2 linked regions of the Xenopus tropicalis genome follow. The protein of the gene in region 1 purifies or fractionates together with the protein of each later gene. This does not show direct contact. Links are inferred from orthologs where the notes say so. Each region holds a gene or a part of one and is shown in the gene's direction. Other genes may lie near its edges.

Evidence for each region.
Region 2: the proteins of stk38 (region 1) and mob2.1 purify together in Homo sapiens (affinity purification with mass spectrometry; 7 studies listed by BioGRID and IntAct, with this or other methods). This does not show direct contact. The link is inferred for Xenopus tropicalis from reciprocal best matches to the Homo sapiens genes STK38 and MOB2.

Annotation. Positions count from the first base shown.
Region 1 is NC_030678.2:53,265,323-53,269,800, forward strand, and holds the start of stk38 (serine/threonine-protein kinase 38), read left to right. Parts: upstream 1-1,505; 5' UTR 1,506-1,513; coding exon 1,514-1,606; intron 1,607-1,816; exon of another isoform or gene 1,817-2,019; intron 2,020-3,697; exon of another isoform or gene 3,698-3,790; intron 3,791-4,211; coding exon 4,212-4,345; intron 4,346-4,478. UniProt on the Homo sapiens protein: Serine/threonine-protein kinase that acts as a negative regulator of MAP3K1/2 signaling. Converts MAP3K2 from its phosphorylated form to its non-phosphorylated form and inhibits autophosphorylation of MAP3K2.
Region 2 is NC_030680.2:21,644,835-21,649,207, reverse strand, and holds the start of mob2.1 (MOB kinase activator 2), read left to right. Parts: upstream 1-1,533; 5' UTR 1,534-1,598; coding exon 1,599-1,615; intron 1,616-4,373. UniProt on the Homo sapiens protein: Stimulates the autophosphorylation and kinase activity of STK38 and STK38L.

The DNA of each region.
Region 1 (4,478 bases):
ATAAAAGCATGTGATATAGGGGCTGAATTCTAGAGCTAAACGTGAATATGTGATATATGTACTGAGATACTGAATTTCGGAATTTAACGTATGGGGGCCCATTTATTAAAGTATGAATTTCGGATTGGTATAAGTACGATTGAAAAAAAACTATAATTTCTGATGTGCGTAAATTGTGCGAAAATTTGTGTCGTGGTCATACAAATTATCGTGGTTGCAATCAGACTTCAATGCATGATTTTGAAAGCTTTCTATAGGACTCAAAGGCACTCTGCAGCTCCAACCTGGCCAAAAGATAGTCACGATACCGAAGCCTGAATGAATAACGAAAGTTTTGTAGTCGTTAATAAAAGTACGACTTTTTGGTGGAATAACGAATGTATCACAAAAAAGTCATCCTTTTTTTAACAATATTATCATTAACAGTAAGAAAAGTTCTAAATACAAATTTTTTCTAATCGTGGTCATCTTGCTTTAATGAATGGGTCCCTTTGTGTTACTTTAGGGTTGCCACCTGTTTGGTTTTGACCTGAACAGTTCAGGTTTTCTTAGGGCTGTTTGGATCACAACTGGCTGTTTAGGTTTTAACCGTGTGAAACCCAAACAATAACAGAGCTGTCAACTCTACTATTTTTTCAAGTTACCCCATTTTGGCTTCTCTTCCCTGGTCTCCCAGCACCCAATGGCATTTCCCTGATTTTTGCACATTCTAACAAAGTTTTTCTTAAAATTCCGGGAGCACATGCGCAGTAAGCATTCGGTGATGTCATAGAAAGCATATGCACATTCAGAAGGGCATGTATCGTCAACAATTTATGTGCACCACAGGATCTCCCCTACAGAGGAGCATCTGGGGTTGATAGTGCTGCAATAATCTAGCCAACAGGGCCGCCATCAGGGGGGGACAGGGGGGAAACTGTCCTGGGCCCCGTGGATTTTTAGGATCTTAGGGGGGCCTGGCCGTCCCGCACTTATTGTACAAGCCAGGGGGGTTGGGTTGCCACCTCTGCCAGCTTTCCTCACCAGGCAGGGGGCGGGAAGAGGTGGGGCTATGATGTCATGGGGCAGGGAAGAGTTGGGGCAGTGATGTCACGGGGTGGGGTTATGATGCAGCATTCGCCTATTGGCCAATCACCGCGTCAATGCGGACGGGCAAATAGGAACAGATCTGCCAATCAGTGGGAAGTGCCAGAACATAAGAGACTTTATGGGAAGTGAAATACACACAGAATAAAGACAGAGGGTTCAGCCTAGGATTTGGGGAGTTCCCTCGGTTTGAAAAAAAAAATCCTGTAATCTCAAGGTAGTGAGCTGGTTATAGTGCACACTAAAGGGGGCGTGGTCAAAAAATGTTGTACTTTGCACTTTCATGTTCATGGGGGGCCCTACTTCCTGATAGCGGCCCTGCTGCCAATAACCACCTTAACCAAGGTTAAGGCCCTGCCCCTACAAAGGCACAAACGCCCCCAAATATCATGGCCCCACAGCCCTCTTGTCACCGCTCTGCCCTCCAATGTCATCATCATCATCTTGTACATTTTTTATTGAGGGCAAAGGTGGCATCCCTATTACGAACTCACGCCAGCCAAGAGCTGTCAATTCATTGGTAAGTATTGTTCCTTCAGTACTGCCCTACAAGCCTTTTGCAACAATTGTAAAACAAGGGCACAGCTGCCTTAAATACTATAAATAATTACAATATTATTTAGCGCAACAAACTCGCTTATAACACACGGTAACTAAGCAACCTTTACCACACGTAAGAAATGACGTAGATCAAAGGTACTTTTGCCCGAGACAAATATGGCGGAGAAGGAGGCCCACGTTCTGCCTGTACTTCCGACGCAGAGTATTTGTTGACGCTGGTGCCGCGCAGTCAGTGCAGCTTTCAGCCGCTGCTTTGAGGGGAGTGTAATAAAGTTCTCTGTACAAGAAAGAGTGGGTGAACTCGTTGAGGTGATCGGTCGGGGTCCCAGTCCTCGGGCTGGAGTTGGGGGAGAAGGCAGGGTGCCGAAGCGGGTGAGTCGCGGCTTATTTACCTAATAGACCTCATGAGAGCACTAGTTTCTACACTGTTGTTTTCCTTTGAAATAGTGGGGTGTGTTGGGGTTTTTTGATGGGGGAGGATAGGTACTATCCTATGTTGTGGTTCTGTTTTTATTTTCAGGCGTTTGTGTCTTATTGTAGCGTACATTTATACGTGTATATGTCTGCGTGTGTGTGTTTGTCTCTTATATACGTATGTGTATGTATATATGTGTTTGTGTGTGTGTGTGTGTGTGTTTGTCTCTTATATAAGTGTGTGTGTGTGTGTGTGTGTGTGTGTGTATGTATGTATCTATATATATGTGTGTGTGTTGGTGCCTGTATATCTATGTTTCTTTATATTTGCATTTGTGAGCATCTCCTCATGGTTGTTTTAAGCCACACATTCTAGCACCCACAAACTGACAGCCAACAGACCTGTGTAGGCATCCAGCATAGTACAAGAATAATATTTAGACACTTAGGTCTCTATTGCCATGAGAATAGCCTGGAAGCCAGAGGTAACTTTTCTGTCAATTCTAACTGAAAAACATGGCAGCTCTGAGGGCTGTTTCAGGTGTTTGGTGCTGTGTGTTTGGGCTACTAAAATGTATGGTTAGGGAAAATTGTCAAAATAACCTGTGCTATTGTTCTAGAGGGCAATTACAACAGAAATGTCACATTTAGGGCCTTCTCTGTATAGTAAATAGTAGACATTTAAGAAGTTTAGAATACAATAGTTTCATTACATTTACTTATAAACTAGGATCAGTTGTAATTTATGGTTCCCTGCACCCCTAGTAGACTTAAATGTGAAATTCGATTGGTGCTGTCATGAATGCTGGGCATTGTTAATTATATAAAAAAAAATATGCATAAAATGAACAACATGCCTTTAACAGCTACGACCTTCTTTGTACAGACAATTCATATGTAAAGGCTCCGTTACACCTTTTTTATAGTTTATAAGCCAACAGTAGGATGGAAATTCCTTCACCTGATGTGGGAATGCCCCGAGGTAGCACTATACTGGACAGAAGTCACCCGCTACGTTAATGTATGTTTATCCTTTCCTGGAATCAGATTTCCTAGGACCTGTTTATTGGGTATAATCGATGAAACAGTGCCCTTACACAAATCTAGAACACTACTACGCTCTGTTATGTTCTATGCAAAAAAAAAGTTGGTGATCATGAAATAGATGGACCCCAATTCTTCTACAGTGGGTTTAACTAATAAATAGTACACTACACCTGATCAAACTGATACACAATGCTCGGGGTGTACCTGGGAATTTTCAGAAACTATGGTTAGGTGTGAACTCTCATATACCCCTACCAGATGATTGAACTCTATGTATAACCCGGGGTACACCCCCATAACCCAGTGCTACATACCTTTCCTTTGCTCAGTGTCACTGTGGATATGACGTAAACAATTGTACCCAACCTAAGTGCTAAACAAATCTGTAAATGTTTTGTTTTTTTTGTTTTGTTTTGTTCTGCAAAATGAAAATAAAAACAATAGGATGGAGTCTACCCTAATTGTATATTAAAGGGAACAAAATTCCATGCCTAGGAAACTTCTTTTGAAACCTGTGTAAACTGAGTAACTTTGCAAACTGCAACTTTTGCAATTTATGTAAAGCTCATGTTTTTATGCAATTTTGTAGGTGCATCTCTAGAGACTTCTATGACTGCTGTCTCGAAGAGGCAACTGATATCGCAGAAGGCTGCAGATATCGGTCAACTCGTCGATCGGCCAGGTTAGAAGATTTTGATCGGGCGCTATTGAAGGCTCCCGAGCAAAATCTACGTTCAGGGTTGGACGGTAGGAACGATCTTTTGTGCGAACAATGGTCGCAAGAAAGATTGGAATTGCTACGTGTATGGCCACCTTTTAGAATTATTTGAATCTGACCCATCCAGCTTCCCATTTTATTGCCAACTTTCATGTAAATTAAACTATTGCCTGCTGATGTTAGTATTTTAGTGTATTTTATATTTCTGTAGCCAGTCTGTGCAGATTATCCTATGCATGTGTAATTTTCTGATGCAAAAGCCTTCTGTAGTATTTGTATATATATTTTGTATACTAAGATATTTGTACTATAGTATGTTAATTGTTTTATTTATTTAAATGTTTCTGTGGGATCATTCTAATAGAAATGTTTTTTCTGTTCACAGGTAATGGCAATGACAGAGCAAACTCCATGCATCTCAATGAGTAACCATACAAAGGAGCGGGTCACAATGACCAAAATGACATTAGAAAACTTTTACAGTAACCTCATCACACAGCATGAGGAACGGGAGCTTCGGTAAAGTTAACTGTCTATTCATTGTGTAAATCCAGGAAGGTGAAGTTAGATCTTACGAGAGATCTGGCTTTGCCTTGTATATAATTCAAAAGCCAAGTGTCCTCATTTATTTATATAGCGCCAGCAAATTATG
Region 2 (4,373 bases), on another chromosome or scaffold:
CAAGTACAGGTACTGTTTTATTATTACAGAGAAAAGGGAATCATTTAACCATTAAATAAACCCAATAGGGCTGTTCTGCCCCCAATAAGGGGTAATTATATCTTTGTTGGGATCAAGTGCAGGTACTGTTTTATTATTACAGAGAAAAAGGAAATCATTTTCAAAAATTAGAATTATTTGCTTATAATGGAGCTATGGGAAACGACCTTTCCATAATTTGGAACTTTCTGGATAACGGGTTTCCGGATAACGGATCCCATACCTGTAGAAGGTTACAGGCCCCTAGAATGAAAAGTAGAGGGGCATACATGTGTTTAAAATAGAACTGTGCCACTTTATTTGCTTTCAGACCTTGCTTAATTCCAGGTCTACTACTAAAAGCTACCCTGGGTCACCTTGGTCGAATATCGGAGACCTGTACCTTGGGGAGGTGTGTGCTTATATAAAAGAATACTGATGCCCCTGTTCCCTTATACACCCAGGTCTATTGATCCTCCTTCTAGCTACTCCCTGGTCCTTGAAATAGTGGCATGACTATCACTAGGTCAGTTCTTTATGAGAGGGATGGAAGCCTTTAGCCAATGTCGGACTGAGACCCCAGGGGCCCACCAGAAAACCTTATACCATACGCCCCCTCTCCAAACTATTTTTCCTCCTTTCCTCGCTGAACATCTATTCTTCCATCTATTTCTCCTCTTTGTTCCCATTCAGATATAGGGAATGACCATGAAGCAGGCCAATTGGTAAAGGGCAGGAGGGCTCACTGACACCTGGGCCCACTGGGAGATTTCCTGGTATCCTGGTGGGGCAGTCCGACACTGCATTTAGGGCTGGGGGGTCACTAACAAACCTTTCCATCAGTGTTTTATGTTTCTTTCTTTGGTCCTCGCTTTGAAGAAATCATTGTCTCTGAAAATACTACGGGTTTTTATAAATAACCAAACAGATATTTGAATGCCCACAAGGCCGGAGCATAGAAGACATCTTATTAAAAGCCCCGTTTAAGGCAGGGCAATATTGTTTTAACAGGCAGAACCAGCAGTGCAGAAATGGACAGAACATTTACTGCATTCATTTACTGCATTCAGTTGCACATCTATGTAACTGCAATTTTTTTTTTATAGATGTACACTGGAATTTAGAATGTGGCTAAAGGATTCCATTTCCTTTGCATAGGCAATGTTTTACTTTGTAATGGGACAGTCACAGGGACAACAAAAAAAATGTCTGTGGTAAGTATTGACAGCAAAGAAGTGAGAATGAAAAGGGCATGATATGAGCCAATTATGGATAAAGAGAGGCTTCAGAACTATTACGTGGAAAAGTCAAATGTTTTAATGTGTGGACTTTATGTTCATGGGAAAATAAACTCATACAGACAGAATAGAATCGAATTCACTTTCAGCACAACTACGCTTCCCAGAGTTCCTAGGGGTTGGTGACAGCCCCGCCTCCCCATGCTGTCCGGCTAGGTGACGTCAGACCCGGAAGCCTGCGTGCCCCGGGCGGTGCTGTGTTTACTTCCGCCCGAGCCGGAGCCGGGGGAGCGGGAGGGAGCGAGAGACCGAGGATGAGCTGAGCCAGAGTAGGCCGCAGATATGGAGTGGTTAATGGGGTAAGTGGCTAAAGGCGGGGTCGTTTCGGTGAGGTGGGGAGGATGAAGCCGGCTGAGCAGCCCGAGGGGGTGGAGCAGGTGGAGTGGCTCTAATATGAAGGGCAATGGGAGGGGTGACAGGAGGGGGGTCTGGGAGGATTTAGGGACATGGGGTTGCAGGACACTTACCTATAGGTGTACCAGTGTGGCGCAGCAATACAGTGCATGGCACGGGTTATTCATTGTGGGTCACTTTCCAGGAGTTGTTGACTACAACTCCCGTCATGCACAGCGATCCGGTGTTTGAAGCTTTGGCTAAAGAACAGCAGCAAGAAGGGGGGGGGGGGCTGCTGCAGGAGAGCAAGGAAATGCTACATGTAATGCATCAGATGTGGGTGCAGGACTGGCCTGCCCTGGGATCACAGTAGTTGGCCAACTAGCATTTATACCAATATAGGAACTAATTTCCCTTGCAGGCTTTGCAGAACATGACGTTGATATGGGTGAGTGCAGAGGTGTGTGTCTGTGTGTGTGTGTGTGTCTGTGAGGTGAGCTGGCGTTATGTAAGTGCAGGAGGGCCTATTGACTGCAGCACTGGCTAACCCTGGCAGCATCAGGGGAGGTGAGCTGGCATTATGTAAGTGCAGGAGGGCCTATTGACTGCAGCACTGGCTAACCCTGTCAGCATCAGGGGAGGTGAGCTGGCATTATGTAAGTGCAGGAGGGCCTATTGACTGCAGCACTGGCTAACCCTGGCAGCATCAGGGGAGGTGAGCTGGCATTATGTAAGTGCAGGAGGGCCTATTGACTGCAGCACTGGCTAACCCTGGCAGCATCAGGGGAGGTGAGCTGGCGTTATGTAAGTGCAGGAGGGCCTATTGACTGCAGCACTGGCTAACCCTGGGAGTGAGACTCAGGTTACTGTATTGACAGAGCAGCAGGGACATTGCTATAAGAGGGAATGTTTAACTATTAGGCCAATGGCAGGCTGGTCCCTCTATTACTGCAGTTGTACACCCCTGCCTGTCACTGCTCATAATGTGAATGGAAAGTGCCCCAGTAACTGCACAAGGAGCGCTGCCAGATGGAGCTCTGCTCTGCATTTCCCGCTGCTACTGTAAATACAGTAAAGTGCAAACATGTCTTATCTGTTGTATATATCTCTTGTTTAATTTCCAGCAGATCTCATGGCAGATGGAGGGGAATTAAAGGGACAGCATCATATATACAGTAGGGTGTATGCACCCAAGATTCGGTAGCTTGGGCAGTATCTGTAGCAAAGGAAAACAATTATATGTACAGAGCAGGAACCTACGGACTCTGACTCCATTGCTGTTCCTGAACTGCAATTCCCTGCATCAGGGAACTGTAGCTGCTTGAGGATTTAAATACCCTCTATTAGACTGTCGTTTGACGGAGCAGGAATATCATTGCTAGATGTGTAATAGCGAAAGTGTCAGTGTAGCTAGCCAAGAGTCCGACATGGCAGCCCCTGCAAGTGAGAGGGTATTGTGGTGTGCCAGGTAATACAGTACCCTCAAATACTCATTCCTAATGCCACACTCTTTGTTGTGCCAGCTTGGGCCTGTGTGCCAGGCAGTAGGCAGAGCGAGGGGGGCGGTGCCATTCATACCTGAGCTGTGTGACATTTCTCCTTCCTGCAAAGAAAGTGAGAACAAGTTTTTAGTCAAGCAGATATTTGAGTATTTAGCTTAACAACAGGCTTTGCCTTGGGTGAGGGCAGTTGAAAGACACAAAGAAAAGCAAAAGGAGGTTTGTGTTGTTCAGACCAGTGCTTGTGATGCAACAGTTGGCCCTGCACCTAATTACTCGTATTTAAGTCTGATGTAATATAAGATGAATTAAAGGGGAAGGTGTCCTTTAAATACACTTAAGGTGCCCATACACTTGAGGTCGCCAAGCGAGTGGATCTTCTCCTGATATCCCCACCTACGGGTGGGCGATATGGGGCGAATGTAGGCTTTGGTTGTTTGGCCCTGGGGCCAAAGGATCAAATTATAGTGGCACTAATGGGCACAGTTGGTGCAGGGACCGCATCAACGATCCAGATCAGGCCAGATTTCAGGCCAGATATCGGTCAGGCAGGCCCATAATTGCTGCCCACATACACGTGCATGACCACCTTTAGTGTGGTGTAGACAGTGATATTTTGAGATGTTTTAAAGTTGTCTTTGTTTCTTATTTTTTTTGTTGTTTTTAAATTGTTTAGCTCTCCAGTAACTATCTGGTTGCTAGGTTCCAGTTTATCCTAGCAACCAGGCAGTGGAAACTATTGTGTGTTACTGCAGTTCCCAAACTCACATCTAACTTTTAATTTAAGGGGCCAGTAGTAGTGAGGCAATTTGCTAATTGCTCATAGGCCGGAATATATAAACATAATAATGTCGTACCAAGCAGCGTATGGAGCCCATAGGCTGGCAGGGAGCTAAACAAATACCTTCCCCTGTGGGGCCTGCAGATGGACACCCCTTATGTAATGAATCGAATTAGTAGATGTGGGACATTTCATCTCGGTCCCCCATTTGCATTGCACATAACAGATGAGCTATTTAGATTATAATGGTTTTAGTGCTTAAGTGGAGATTATCAGGGGTCAGGGCACCTATAGGATGAAAGACTGATTTATATGAGAAGGACTCGAGCACTATCAGCAAGTATTTTATAGGCTGATAGTGGGCAAACCGTTAATGTACATACATTCATTTCACTTTACTCCTTTGCTAGCCCTTTAACTGAAAGGCTGCCAGATCTGTTAGGA